2 linked regions of the Xenopus tropicalis genome follow. The protein of the gene in region 2 binds, or shares a complex with, the protein of the main gene of each other region. Links are inferred from orthologs where the notes say so. Each region holds a gene or a part of one and is shown on either strand. Other genes may lie near its edges.

Region 1 (7,456 bases), on a different chromosome or scaffold from region 2:
TATTGCAAAATCTTCATGTGTCCATAGCGCACAGATACCTGGAGAAAATGTGTGAGCCTGAATTCAAAGCCATGCGTGATTGTTGTTCCAAGTACACAGCCCATCGCTCAGTGTGTTGTTCTGGATTCCAGCATGAAGGGGCTTCAACATCTGAAGACCAGTTAGTCCAGAAGACCGCACAGGAAGCAGACTGTAATAATGGATGTAAAACAAAACAATGACATGGATAAATAAAATTCTAAAGCAAGTTAAGCTGCAAATTCAAAATCTCTTTTTTAGAAAGTATTTACATCAATTGAAAACATGTCACCTCAGCATGACTGAATGAATTCTTAATGAAAGAGATCAGTGCTGCACTGCACATACTTTGCAGCTTTTAAAGCGCCAGGTGCAAGATGTAAACTCTGCTGCAAAAGGTGGCTAATGACAGAAATTGCTGGGAGTGCTGGGTGAAATGATGGAGTAAGAAGCAATTACTGACTACTGGGTGTTTTCTGAGGTTACCTGGCTGACTGAGGTAAACTGCTTTTTTCCTTTGTGTGTGAAGTGAGAAAGTAGCGTAACTTGGTTGCACTAGGTCCCCCTGCAATAAAAAGTCCCTCCTCCCCTCACGGCTCACTGGTGCCATGCCTCCTCCACCACTCTACTATTTTAAATGTGAGGAGAGGGGCCGGGAAGGGGGGACTACTGCACAGCTGACTCTGCAATCTGCTGTAAATATAGTTACACCGCTGCTTGTGGATAAATTAGTTTAGTACACTTATTTTGTCTGGTGGATTAGTTACTAAGGGGCACATTTATTAAAGTTGAATCTTACTAAAGTTAGAGAAGTTTTGTGCACTAAATTCTAAAACTTAACTTTTAATAATCATTTTAAAATAAATTAATTAACCACAAAGGGATGACCATTAAAATCAATTAGAAAAAAAACTAAATCATGGTGGTGGGGTAAATTGTGGATCTCTTAGTTTAAGAGTACCACTGAATACCTCCACAAGCATCCACAAAAGCTGTCAAATAATGTAAGTTAGTATCTAAATTAGTGTAAGTGTTGTGTCTAACATCCCACTTTTAACTGTATTAGTGGGCATCAGTCAAATGTGCCATTGTAACTAAAGTCCAGAAAATTAGGGTAGTGATTCCAAAATAAGGACAAATGTGGCTTAAAAATAGAAGCAGTACTTTAACCCTCAATTCACTGCATTACAGCTTTTTAACCCATCCACACTGCAGAGCTCCCAGTAGCCACAAACACCTTAGGTTGGATCATGAAAAATTGTTACAGTTGTTGTCACACTATGCAAACAATCTCATATTAAAGATGTTTATTCGAACCTTGAATACATTTACTGAAGAAAATGAGTTAAGTTTGAAACATTCCTTACAAGGACACAAAACGCATGGTGGAATACTGCCAGGGACAGATAATAGGACCAGTGTCGGACTGGGGGTTGCAGGGCCGGCCATGTCCCCTAACCGCCCGCAGGGTCCCCCACCCGACGTCCTCCCCGAGCGCGCATAAATTTAATGCGTCAGGGGAGGAACAGTCGGCCGGGGAGCGCCGGCAAGGGTCGGGTCTGGGCTGCAGGGGCTTACTAGGCCCACTGGGAATTTCCTGTTGCCCAGTCCAACCCTGAATAGGACCAAGTTTATGAACTTGTTGCATGAAGATTTATGTCAAAGTTTGTTGAGCCAACCAGAAATTATGCTGTACTGGATCTAGTGGTCTTGAATGACCCTAAACAGTTGGTTGAACCTCTGGGTAACAGTGACCATAATGGTATTTAAAGTTTGTTGCAAAAACCACAAATATACTCAAGGGCAGGATTTCAGAACCTAGATTGGGGCATTATGTTTGCTGCTAATTACACAGAAGAGAAATGGTTGTGGTACAATCTCAGTAAGCTACTAAAATTCCTCTGTGCATTAAGAGTGACCCAGTTGGCCAGGGTCTTTCAGTACTAGTACCTGACACCTTCACAGGTAATAAGGGGGTTGAGCTCTCTCTCTATATAGATTGAAGCAAATCCAATTACATTTTATCAGGATATATGTAGTACACAGGATCAGGTCTGTTGATTTCATATATTAAAACATAAAGCTTCTGCTACTGTTTCTAACAGATCGCTATATGAAATAGTATAGTAGTCAGGCTGGAATCAAACTGAGGAGCCCAGCGCTGCAAGTCGGGGTTGTTGGCTTCACATCCCTGATAGGTAAAGAGAATAAGACTGTGTGTCTGTACACGTGTTGCTTGTCCTGTCCCACTGTTCCCTCTCTAAGGGCTATCTATCAGCGCAAATACCCTCTGTAACATCCAAACACTGCCCGCAGCCACATATTTATTATAAGTGTATCTGCCCTATGATTCCCTGCTGCGGAATGTTTTATATTCGAAGAACAGCCAGCTAAACCAAATAAGCACACACGCTCTTCGCATTTTGAACATGGCGCATTAACAGGCGGCCTCCCCCACACAAGTGGCAGAGACGTAACAGAGAGAGATGCCATAGGCTGTCGGTCAGTGCCATGTGATGCGCCCCTAGCAGGAAGGGGCGGGCGCCCCAGGGGTAGCTCCTCCCATGTGCTATATCCGGTTAGTGCTCTCACTATTCGGCCTCACTCACCGCGTGTTACAGGAGAGAGAGAGGACATGGCGGACGGGGAGGGTGAGCAGTTTCTGCAGATGACTTCCATGCAGTTTGCAGTTTGAATGTGCCCAGCGCCGTAGCTGCACATTTCATTTCGTTGCCTTGTTTTTAATTTTGCTTTTTCTCACTTTTAGGTTCCAAAAAGAAGGCGAAAAAGCGTCGCAGTCAGATTCTCGGAGCAGAGGACGTGGCAGTGAGTCCCCCCTCTAATATAATAAATAGTAATACTGTGCAATGGTTATTCAGGGAGGTTCTGTATGCGCACTGAGCAGGTCTGTCTGGGTCGGTTCTGATTTCCTGTACTGGCCCATAGGCGGAAGGCTTGCAAAGCATGGCCAACACTGGCCGCCATTAAATACGGGATTGCAATATAGAAAGCGATAACTTTAGAAAACGCAGAAATAACACCATGTGAAAGAGGCAATTTAATGGCAACTTCTTTATTTTGATCCTGGCTGTTTTGCTACATTTATCTGAGGGGGGCCCTTCAATTAGAAATGCCACGTATTGAATCTGAACCTTAATTTGGGGATTGAAAGTTGAGGGAAAATAAAGTTTTACACGAGTTTCAAAGTCCTAAGAGTTGGAGGCCTCTGATGTGGGTTGGCAGTTAGGTCTTGGACAAATCCTATGGTCTGTGGACCCCTACTTTTATAAGGGAGTTGTCTGAAAAAACCTAGTGGTTTCAACCAATGAAATAAGCTGTCTTTGGTGCAAATGTGACCAAAAGTGTGGAGTGTTAAAGGGCAATGAAATGCACAGATGCCTCTTTTATAAATTACTCAATTACCCCTCCAACTATATTAAGTGCCCCTTCATCATTTGCCCAGTTTTCCCATTAGAATGCAGAGTAGTGTTGAAGGGTTAGGGACAGCCATGCCATATTCATTGTGCAAGTGTCCCTCAGGTTAAATGTGGAGGAGAATTTGCACTGGAAGCTGCTCTGGTCCTGTTTTCCAGTGAACAGAAATCGGTAATGCAGAGCCTGCACACCAGAAGTAATGTGGCTGGTCATAGTGGCTGCCAGCCCTGTTCTTCTAGATTTTCAACCCATTTATAGAACAAGGAGGCAGTCAGTGGGAGAACACTTAAAAAATCCTTCCTTTTTAACAGCATCAAGGGGGCAACACGTGTTTAAAAAAAAAAATGTAGGTGTGGCTTCCTTGCCCTCTAAGGGCAGTTGGTACACAGTCTCAAATATTTGCGGCAGCTGCAACAGGCATTGAGGAAGCTGCAACAGGCACTGGCCACTCTGTTACGGACATGGGTATTGCTTAATAATGCAGTTATTTAACAAAACAGTGTATGAAAGGTGCAGATTATTAAGATTCCATTTGGCCAGGTAATGCAAAATAAAAACCAAGGAAACTTTTCAGGGGTCTGACAATAGTGTATTGCTTCTCTGTGCTTGATGGAACTATCCTTTTGCTGAAGTGTTAGTACCATGTAACAAGGGATTAACAGCAGAAAGTGTACTAGGTTGGTTGGTCCACTTAATAGAGCATCTCCTATGATGTCATTGATGAATTAAGATAATACGGGAATCTCATATTAACTCCTTTCCTCCTCTTGCAGGATATTCAACATGAGGGAGACTTTCTAATCAAACCTGAATCTAAAGTGGCTCAGCTAGACACATCTCAATGGCCTTTACTTCTCAAGGTCTGTATGTGGCAAGGATGAAGCTATCAATATTTATTGGAAATTAATTGGAGACATGGCACTCTGTATCAATATGTTGTATGTTTTTGCATTTCTTTTTAGACTTGTGGCATATGATCTTTATAAATGTGTTAATGAATAACCCTGTTTCTTCAGTGATATCTTTTACAGTGCTAGAAATATTTACCCCAATCATACTACATCCCCCTACTGCTATGCACATAAAATTTACATTAGCTAGAGTTAAGCTTATACCATACTTTATCAATATGTTTGTTCTTTCCCTTAGAACTTTGATAAATTAAACATCCGAACAGCTCATTACACTCCTATTCCATCTGGTTCCAACCCACTGAAAAGAGAGATTTCTGAATATATTAAGTAAGTCAAGGGTGTTTTTTCAATCAACATACTGTTTGCTTACAGTGCTATTGGGGTTTAAGAGTGAATCATTTTTATTTACTGCTCATTGTCTAGCAAATTCCATGCCTTGGTAAGGCATGTAAAAAGCCAGTTAGTAGTCCTTTTTCTTTCGGCAATCTGGAGGTGGTGTCATAGAAGGACACCACTTCAAATATTCTCTAATACAAATCTCTATGGAATAATATATATGCTAATAGGTTATAAACATCAGCCTGAATAGTGTGTGGTTTTTGTTTGTTTTTTTATACTTTATAATTTCAGTACCTGCTTGGATAAGGTGTAGGTATTGCTTCCACAGTCATTTATTCTCTCTCAGAACAGGGTTTATTAACTTGGATAAACCTGCTAATCCTTCATCACATGAGGTTGTAGCATGGATAAGGCGTATTTTAAGATCGGAGAAAACTGGTCACAGTGGGACCCTGGATCCGAAAGTAACAGGCTGTTTGATTGTCTGCATTGATCGCGCAACACGACTTGTAAAGTCGCAACAGAGTGCAGGTGAGTCCCGTCCTGAAACAAGATATAAATTACACCTTATGTTAAGATGAAGAGACTTGCTTATTTCAAAGATGTACTGTACACGGCATGCACAGGGACTGATGGTCCAAAGAAAACCAAATTGGGCCATGCAAATTCTCTTGAGAAATGCTCTTGGCTAGTAGGAGTAGGATTTTAAATTGTATTGCTTAAATTTTTTAATTACCAGTTCTGGTATATTTCAACAAGTAGGCAGGATGTATTTATTGGTCTACTGTTGCTGAAAGCAAACTTTAGAAGAAACTTACTCATACTCCTGGCTTTTAATAATACAGCAGGACTATGGTTGATTTTTTCTGTAGGTAATGGCTGAACATGTGATGTATAGTTGAAACATAAACCATTGGCACATTTACTGATATAACTGCTTCAGTATAGAGTCAGGTTAGAAGTGCAAACTAAGGGTGACATTTATAGAAGTTTTTGAGACCAAAAACCTAAATTAGATAAATATGAAGGGATATTAAGTAGTGACTCTTAAAATGTCACTAGTAGGGACTGAAGATGGCATCTTACTTTGCGTTGACACCTATTCATGTGTCATTCGCCCTCTGCTGTTCATATTAACTGGCTGCCCCCATTTTGCTCTGTCCCCTCTAGGGAAAGAGTATGTGGGAATTGTACGGTTGCACAATGCGTTGGAGAACGAACTACAACTTTCACGGGTAAGGTAATGGTCTACCTTAAATTGGCTGCCAGACCTATTCCCAAATTATGTCCCAATATATGAGATTTCATGTTTGCCACACAATCAATGCAGCATGAGCACAAGACAAGTTTGAACATCAATTTTCCCCATTACTTTATCTAAAGCAAGATGGTGGCTATAGATTTCTGTTAACTTATGTCTCCTTTTTGCTAGTGGCAAATCAGTAAACAAACCAGCCTCCTAGCAAAGGTGCACTATGCAAGTTTCCTATGTTTAATGCTCGGCCAACTTTTATTCTTACTGTCCTCAGGCTTTGGAGACACTCACTGGTGCATTATTCCAGCGTCCACCTTTAATAGCTGCTGTTAAGAGGCAGTTGCGTGTAAGAACAATCTACGAGAGCAAACTAATAGAATATGACCCTGAACGTCGGCTAGGTGAGTTACTGGTCAGGTTGTCCTCAGACTTTAAATGCTATAAAAGTAGGTATTTCATGTGCGTTTAAGCAGTTAATACAAGGTGTAATGGCTTATAAGGTGTATTATGGTTTGTTAAATTTAAAATGAGATGTTGAAATGCCTTCTGGAGGTGTACTGGGAAGATATACTGTGTTCAGTCTGTATTTGAGGCACCTGTTGTGGGCCATTGAAATTTTAGAATGTATGAACACTATTTTTGCTCTGATACGGATACTTTTGATACTGGTGTGGAATTGCTCAAGGTGTCAAGAGCTATAATATTGCTTATGCTTGCAAAAGCTTTATGTACATGCTTGGGCTATGTAGAATGCAAGGTACATGACTGCTCTGATGTCTAAATACAAAATAGACCATGCCCTGTGCATAAACAGATGATGATATCTTTTTATTTAAAGGCAGCAAAGCCACTTTAACAAATGAAAGGTGGGCTCATGTTCATTGGAACAGCTTTACTGCTTTAGATGGGTATGTTGGTGTTGGTCTTCTGATGTATAAAAGAGTCTAACAAACCTTTTATGTGGTACTAATTCCTTTGTCCCCCTTCCTGCTCTTTAGGTATATTTTGGGTAAGCTGTGAGGCTGGTACATATATCCGGACTCTGTGTGTTCACATTGGCTTGCTGCTGGGGGTTGGAGGTCAAATGCAGGAGCTACGTCGTGTTCGCTCTGGTGTCCTAGGAGAGAAGGTAGGTACCATATCGATAGATAAAATTTTCTAGGTGGCATCACCTGCTGCACCCAAAAGCGTTGAGTTCAGTATGAGTTGTCTGTCTCATACTGGTAATAAGCTTTGGAACATTAATGAGCTTACAGGAAATGAAGAGTAACAGGACTCTCTATCCTGTTGCCAACAGTTCAGTATGAATATCCTAGCTAACTATGACTCCTAAATTGCTTCTCTATATAATGCCTCTGTTTCACAGGATAACCTTGTCACAATGCATGATGTTCTGGACGCGCAGTGGCAGTTTGATAACAATAAGGATGAAAGTTACTTACGCAGAGTCATCTTTCCACTAGAGAAACTTCTAGTGTCTCACAAAAGACTTGTC
Region 2 (6,943 bases):
TTTGGGTAGCCAACAAAGCAAAGAAAACCAAGAGAAGAAGGTATCTTCTGTGCGTGTATGTGTTTTGTTGCCAATGTGTCTGCAAACCCATGACATTCCCATGCCATAAACTTCTGTAAAGCACTGCATAAATGTGTTGTCACTATAGAGTTACATATTTAAGTTGGGTTGAAAAAAAGTCCATCAAATTGAACCCCTCCAAACAAACCCCAGTGCGTATATATAGGAGAACTGACCCCTAACAACACTGGAGCAATTAGGAGATGCCACTACTCTTTGTAATTTATACTTTAGCCAGTTTTTTTTATCCAACTACAAATATGTTCCAGGCCAGTATTCCTTAATTTAAGCAGTAACCTTCTGAACCTACAGTGGCAATCACAGAGCTAAGCTCTATTAATACCTTGGGATGAATACCATCCGGTCCAGGACCTTTGTTTACCTTTTGAAATTCCTCCCGAGTGACCCATGCATGAGTAGCTATATTACTAGAACTGGGCATATTAAAAGGGAAGCCTTCATTAGCTGGCTCTTCAGTTGTGTAGACAGACAAAAATAACAATTCAGAACCTCTGCTTTTTCCCTGATCTCATTGAACAACTGACCTTCCTCTGATAATAAGGGTTCCACTTATTTACATATTTAAAAATGATTTTGGGTTTATTTACTCCTCTCTGTAATACAATTTTCCATCCCTATTTTAGCTTGGCTCATTAAAGCATACAAGTAAGCTATATAGCATTTAACAGTGAAACACTGTTTCCAGAACTGCAAGCACCTCTTGATTTTCCTCATGCATTTTTAAAGGAGAAGGAAAGGCTAAGTCACTTGGGGGTGCCGAAATTTTAGGCACCCCCAAGTGACTTAGATCGCTTACCTTTTAACCTGGGCTGGTGCCCCTGTTAGGAGAGAACAGCACCAGCCCGCGGTAGAAGCGAGTGCTTCCTATTCGCTTGCGTGCGCATGCGCAGTAGAGTGAAAAGCCGAACTTAAACAACAAAGTCGGCTTTTCACTCTACTGCGCATGCGCCGGCCGACGGATTTCGCAGAAGAAAGAGGAAGGAGGAAGCACTTCCTACAGGTACCCCGGGCTGGTGCTTTTTTCTCCTAACAGGGGCACCAGCCCAGGGTACGGGGTAAGCGATCTAAGTCACTTCGGGGTGCCTAACATTTTGGCACCCCCAAGTGACTTAGCCTTTCCTTCTCCTTTAAGCTAGTGTATTGCAATTGCTTTAGTAAATTGTGTATTGCAGTTGCTTTAATTCTCCATATGTTAGTACCTTGTTAGTGCCATAGTACCTTAAGCAGTTTAACAATGCTGACATTTTACAGATTCCTTTTGATTTATTTCAAATTTTTTTTTCCTTTATGTGGCAGATTCAACATTTTACCTCTCGGGTTCGAAACCTTTTTAGTGTTCTTAACTATGAATGGAATAGAAATTGCAGCCTAATTGGCTCATCTGTTTTTGGCATGGATGATATATACAAACAGTGGAAAAAATTTGTGCTAGATTTTGAAAAATCGAGAGCTGAAAAAGGCAAATTTTACTTTGTGAAGGTAAGTAAAAACAAACATCTTGTTAAATGTTCTCCCCATCATTAAACCTGTAAAGTTAATTCTTAATGATAATTGTTATTATATTAATAATGAATAGAACATACTTAAATGGTAGAGAGAGGAACTTTAGCTATCAATCTAGTTCTGAGCCAGCTACACTGTACAGAGTCAGTGCAGCTCTTCTCTTATAGAGGTAACAAGTAAATGATTGGCTGGGCTGTCATCACTAGTTTGACCTAGGAAACATCTGTATTTAACATTTTGTATTTGAGCAGACACAGTAACCAGGGCTCAGAATATTCACAGCAAAAGTTGAATTATGAGGTTGGGACACTGGTGTTTTTTCTATTTCAAATTTGTTTCCATTGGTATCAATTCACTTATAGGGCTTCCAGTGCTGCATATTGAAATACTTAAGTTATTCTGTGTTGAGAGTGCTATGTGAGTGGCGTTGCATCCAAGTCCTCATACTAAATATCATACACTTAGCGATCTATATTTGTCACTTGGTAATGTGAGAGAGTAACAGGTATATGTATATATTTTCCTTTTACATCCCTCCCTGTTTACAATGACATCAATTATCTAACCTCAGTTTCTTTGACAGAGTCTTGTGCTTGAGATGCACGGTAATGTCACTTGCCAGTCATTGGCTGTAGACCCTACGGTAGTCACATGTAAAAGCCAGTTTATCACTGAATAAAACTGTGCATGGATCCAATTAATTATCTTGAGAGAAGAATTATAGAGAGTATGTGTATAGCACTAGTAGCCTTTTATAGGAAATGTATCCTTCACAAGTATTCCTCATTCACTCAGCACAGCCAAACTGTTTTCCATGTACACACACAAATTTGGTGGTTTGATATAGCTACTTAATGAATCTATCAAACAGTATCAAGCACTTTGTTGTATAATATTGCTATATACTAACAGGAAACACAAATGTAATGTACTGCATTCTTTCTGATTTACAGTTTAATCTCTGTGCTGGAATTTTCTCTTTAGACAGATGTTAAGGGAGCATATGATACCATTCCACATTCAAAGCTCGATGAAGTGATCTTAAAAGTAATTAATCCAAATGCAAATGAAGTATATTGCATACGACGTTATGCCTCAGTTTCAGTGGATTCAACTGGACGCATTATAAAATCTTTCAAAAGACATGTAAGAACATATATATGAAAACTGTTACAACAGATTTAAATCAGAAGTTCTCCTGTAAATTAACTTGTAGTCTGTTAAAGTTGGAACTATTCTAAGAAACTTTTTAATCTTCACTAATTATATTGTATGGTGTTTGAATTATGAGTCTATATATTCTGCCTGTAAACAAGCCTTAAAATATGTTTCCCACTATAAATATGAGACGTGTTTAGTTTCAACCTGGCTTACCTAAAACAGGTAGGTAAAGTGCAAATTCTACATCTTGCTGAAAATACCTACTTTTGGCAATTTCTGTTTAAGGGTAGGAAATTACTATATATACTCGAGTATAAGCCTAGTTTTTCAGCACCCAAAATGTGCTGAAAAAAGTCACCCTCGGCTTATACTCGAGTCGGGTGCCATGGGTCCCTCTAGACTAGCACCCTCTGTCCTTTGTGTGCAAATTAGGCCACCCGCAACCAGACCCTCCAGTGCCCTGGCCTAGGCTCCCACTAGCATTACTTATTTCCCCTTACATCCCTCCGGGACTGGGTCTGCTGCCAGTTTGCCAATATGCAATGAGCGTGGGGTAGTACTCATATTGTTTTTGTTGACCCTATTCTCTAATTACAGAGCTAGTTTACTGTTTTTCTTTGAAATAAATATTGAAAAACATATACCCCACTGATGCCTCAATTAATGTAATTTTATTGGTTTTTATTTTGATTATTAAAACTTAGCAGTAGCTGCTGCATTTCCCACCCTAGGCTTATACTCGAGTCAATAAGTTTCTCCAGTTTTCTTAGGTAAAATTAGGTACCTCGGCTTATATTCGGATCGGCTTATATTCGGATCGGCTTATACTCGAGTATATACGGTACTTGTCCTTAAATAGGTACGACACTGACTAAGGCTGATTCTGACTTGTACAATACCTTTATAGAATTTGTATTTACTTTCTTTGCCTGTGTGGGTTTCCTCTCATGCATACAGGTATGTTAAAGGGTTCCTGTTAAAAATGACCATAGTATATAGTCTGTCAGTGCTTTCCAACTTCTGTGGCACTGAGGGCTGGAATGTTTCTGGCCTAAATGGTGGAGGGCTGTTAATGAAAGCAATTTGACCACTCCCCCTTTTTAAACCACACCCTCTTCAAACCACAACTATGTTATCGCAAAGTATACACAAACACACAAAAACACTTTTTTTTTTTTTTTACTTATTTATTTTATATTTTACCCCTTTGTCTTTGTTTTTTTCCTAAAAACTGTTTATTTTGACAGCCTGACTATTGGATCAGATATTCTGACCACTAATTACACTGTTGTGTGACTTATTTTGCTGTTTCACTAATTTGCACAATTTTTGTGGTTTTATTGCATTTTTATCCCTGTATAAGTGTTCCTGATCTGTTTTTTTAGCTTCTGGTTTTCTGGGGGTCTGTGTATAGTTAGGGGGGGGTTACGGCACATAATACGCTGTTAGGGGGCTCTGTATGCAAAAGCTTAGTAGGCAGGCGAGAAATCCATATGCGCTATTTTCATTTTGGGTTCAGTACACACCACAGACTTTGGTATATCTTTGCATATTGGGCATCAAACTGTTCAGTAGACCTCTGGTGTTCCTATTTGGGGTGATATGCCTTTGTACGCAAGAAATTGTGTGGGATAAAAGCAGCAAATTGCAACGTTTTTAGACGATTTTCTGAAATGTCATAAAAACCACTAACTTTAGGAAAGCTTTGCAGATTAGTACTTTGGTGTTGAAAAGACTCTTTACCCATGTTGGATTTCTCAGAATGTGTATTTTCCAAAAATATATGATTTTCTGGGGGGTCTCTGTATAGTTAGGGGGTGTTACGGCACATAATACACTGACGGGGCACTGTGTGCAAAAGCTGACTTGGCAGGCAAGAAATCCTTATGCGCTATTTTCATTTTGGGTTCAGTACACACCACAGACTTTGGTATATCTATGCATATTGGGCATCAAACTGTTCAGTAGACCTCTGGTATTGCTATTTGGGGTGATTTGCCTTTGTATGCAAGAAATTGTGTGATATGAAAGCGGCAAATTGCAACATTTTTAGACGATTTTCGGAAATGTCATAAAAACCACTAACTTTAGGAAAGCTTTGCAGATTGGTACTTTGGTTTAGAAAGGACTCTTTACCCTTGTTGGATTTGTCAGAATGTGTACTTTCCAAAAATATATGGTTTTCTGGGGTGAGCATAATTTTTTGTAGCTTTATCCCACATGAAATTATATAAATGTGTTGATTTTGCAGGAGCTGAAATAACAGAAATGATAGATCATATGGGGGTATGTTCACATTGGGGCCCCTACATGCCACATACTTAGGTAAACCTGCACATAATATAGAGTCATTGGACTATTTTGACAGCTGAGAAAATTCATATGCACTATTTTCATTTGGGTGCCTCTGTACACCACATATCTTTGCATATTGGGCACCAAACTGTTCATTATACCTCTGGCATTCATATTTAGGGTGATGTGTCATTGTATGTAAGAAATGTTGTAAGATAAATGTGGCAAATTGCAACATTTTTAGGCATTTTCCAGAAAAGTCATGACAGAAATGATAGCTTGCATGGGGTATGTTCACATTGGGGCCCCTACATGCCACATACTTAGGTAAACCTATACATATTGGGCATCAAACTGTTCAGTGGACCCCTGGCATTCAAATTTAGGGTGTTTTATCTTGGTACCTAATGCTATGTGGGAGATATGATGCTGCAAAATGGAAGCTTTCAGGGGATTTTTGGAAATGTCATCAAAATTGCCAAATTTAGGAAAGCTTGGTACTTTGGAATAGAAAGACATGGGGGATTTGGGGGGAATGTGTACTTTCCAAAAATATATGGCTTTCTGGGGTGAGCATAATTTTTTGTGGCTTTATCTCACATGAAATTATATAAATGTGTTGATTTTGCAGGAGCTGAAATGACAGAATTGATAGATCATATGGGGGTATGTTCACATTGGGGCTCCTACATGCCACATGCTTAGGTAAACCTATACATATTGGGTCTCAAACTGTTCAGTGGACCCCTGGAGTTCAAATTTAGGGTGTTTTATCTGGTTACTTTATGACCTGTAGGAGAAAAGGTACTATAGACTGGAAGCTTTGAAGCGATTTTTCAAAAAATTCACAAATTTTTATAAAAACCAATAACTTTAGGAAAGCATTGCAACTTGGTAGTTTGGAGTAGACAGACAGTTCTACCTACAGAATCTGTTCTTTCCAAAAATGTATAATTTTCTGGGTTAAACTTTCTGTTAGTGTAATTTTTGGCCTTGAAATATAACTTTTTTTGAAAAAAACAATATATAGTTTTCCTGGGTAAACTAAAAGTCCTTCCCCCCCCGGAAAGGCCCCTAAATTAAAAGAGTGCAAAATGTTCAAAAATGGTCTGGCAATACACGTTTCGCTTTGACCAAAATGGCTGGCAGTAAAAGGGTTAAGAAATAAACCCAGACGTCAGACCCAGAACAAAAGAAATGGACTATACCTATAATAATGGCTAGGCGAGAGTCCAACCCCCCCACCCTAACCCCCTATCCGACCTCAACTTTACTTTTTCTATCTTCCCCCCCCACACACGTTTTATTTGTAACCTACCTTGTTGAAAAACAAACAATAAAAAAAAAGTTAAAAAAAATAAATCTATTAAGCCAAAGCCTGCCTAGCAGTATGAAACAACCTTAAATGATGCCAGTATCTCAGAACACACTTAAAATAGGGTTACAAACCACTGTAAATTGAAATGTAGAACCCTTGAAAAAAACAGAGTCTTAAGAAAATCTGTTTTTTATGTTTTGACCTAAACACTGCAAAAAGTAATGTAGGTATGTATGTTATGTATTTTTTTCTCCTTAAGGTATCTGCATTAGCAGATGTTCTTCCAAATATGAAACAGTTTGTTTCAAAGCAACAAGAAAAGAACTTGACACGTAACACAATTCTAGTGGAACAGGTAATGTTTTAAGTATTTTTTTTTTTAATTATTTTGGCTCAACAGTTGTTCTTGTTAAAGGGATACGGTCATGATTTTATGTTGTTTTTTAATAACTAAATTACACTGTGTACATAGCAAATCACTAAATTACACTGTGTACATAGCAAATCATGCACTCTACCATTTACAATTTTATTTTTGAACCAATAAATGTATTGTTTTTTAGTTGTAATATTGACGTGTAGGCA

What was found. The genes of interacting proteins can lie anywhere in the genome.
Region 1: tert (region 2) and dkc1 share a complex: the UniProt entries of both Homo sapiens proteins name them as parts of the telomerase holoenzyme complex. The link is inferred for Xenopus tropicalis from reciprocal best matches to the Homo sapiens genes TERT and DKC1.

Annotation. Positions count from the first base shown.
Region 1 is NC_030684.2:38,917,542-38,924,997, forward strand, and holds the start of dkc1 (H/ACA ribonucleoprotein complex subunit DKC1), read left to right. Parts: upstream 1-2,558; 5' UTR 2,559-2,653; coding exon 2,654-2,669; intron 2,670-2,785; coding exon 2,786-2,844; intron 2,845-4,226; coding exon 4,227-4,313; intron 4,314-4,602; coding exon 4,603-4,694; intron 4,695-5,052; coding exon 5,053-5,237; intron 5,238-5,876; coding exon 5,877-5,941; intron 5,942-6,235; coding exon 6,236-6,362; intron 6,363-6,959; coding exon 6,960-7,090; intron 7,091-7,327; coding exon 7,328-7,456. Other genes in the region: cmc4 (cx9C motif-containing protein 4), read left to right, coding at 28-221.
Region 2 is NC_030682.2:58,809,565-58,816,507, reverse strand, and holds part of tert (telomerase reverse transcriptase), read left to right. Parts: coding exon 1-40; intron 41-1,377; coding exon 1,378-1,560; intron 1,561-2,568; coding exon 2,569-2,730; intron 2,731-6,617; coding exon 6,618-6,713; intron 6,714-6,943. UniProt on the Homo sapiens protein: Telomerase is a ribonucleoprotein enzyme essential for the replication of chromosome termini in most eukaryotes. Active in progenitor and cancer cells. Inactive, or very low activity, in normal somatic cells.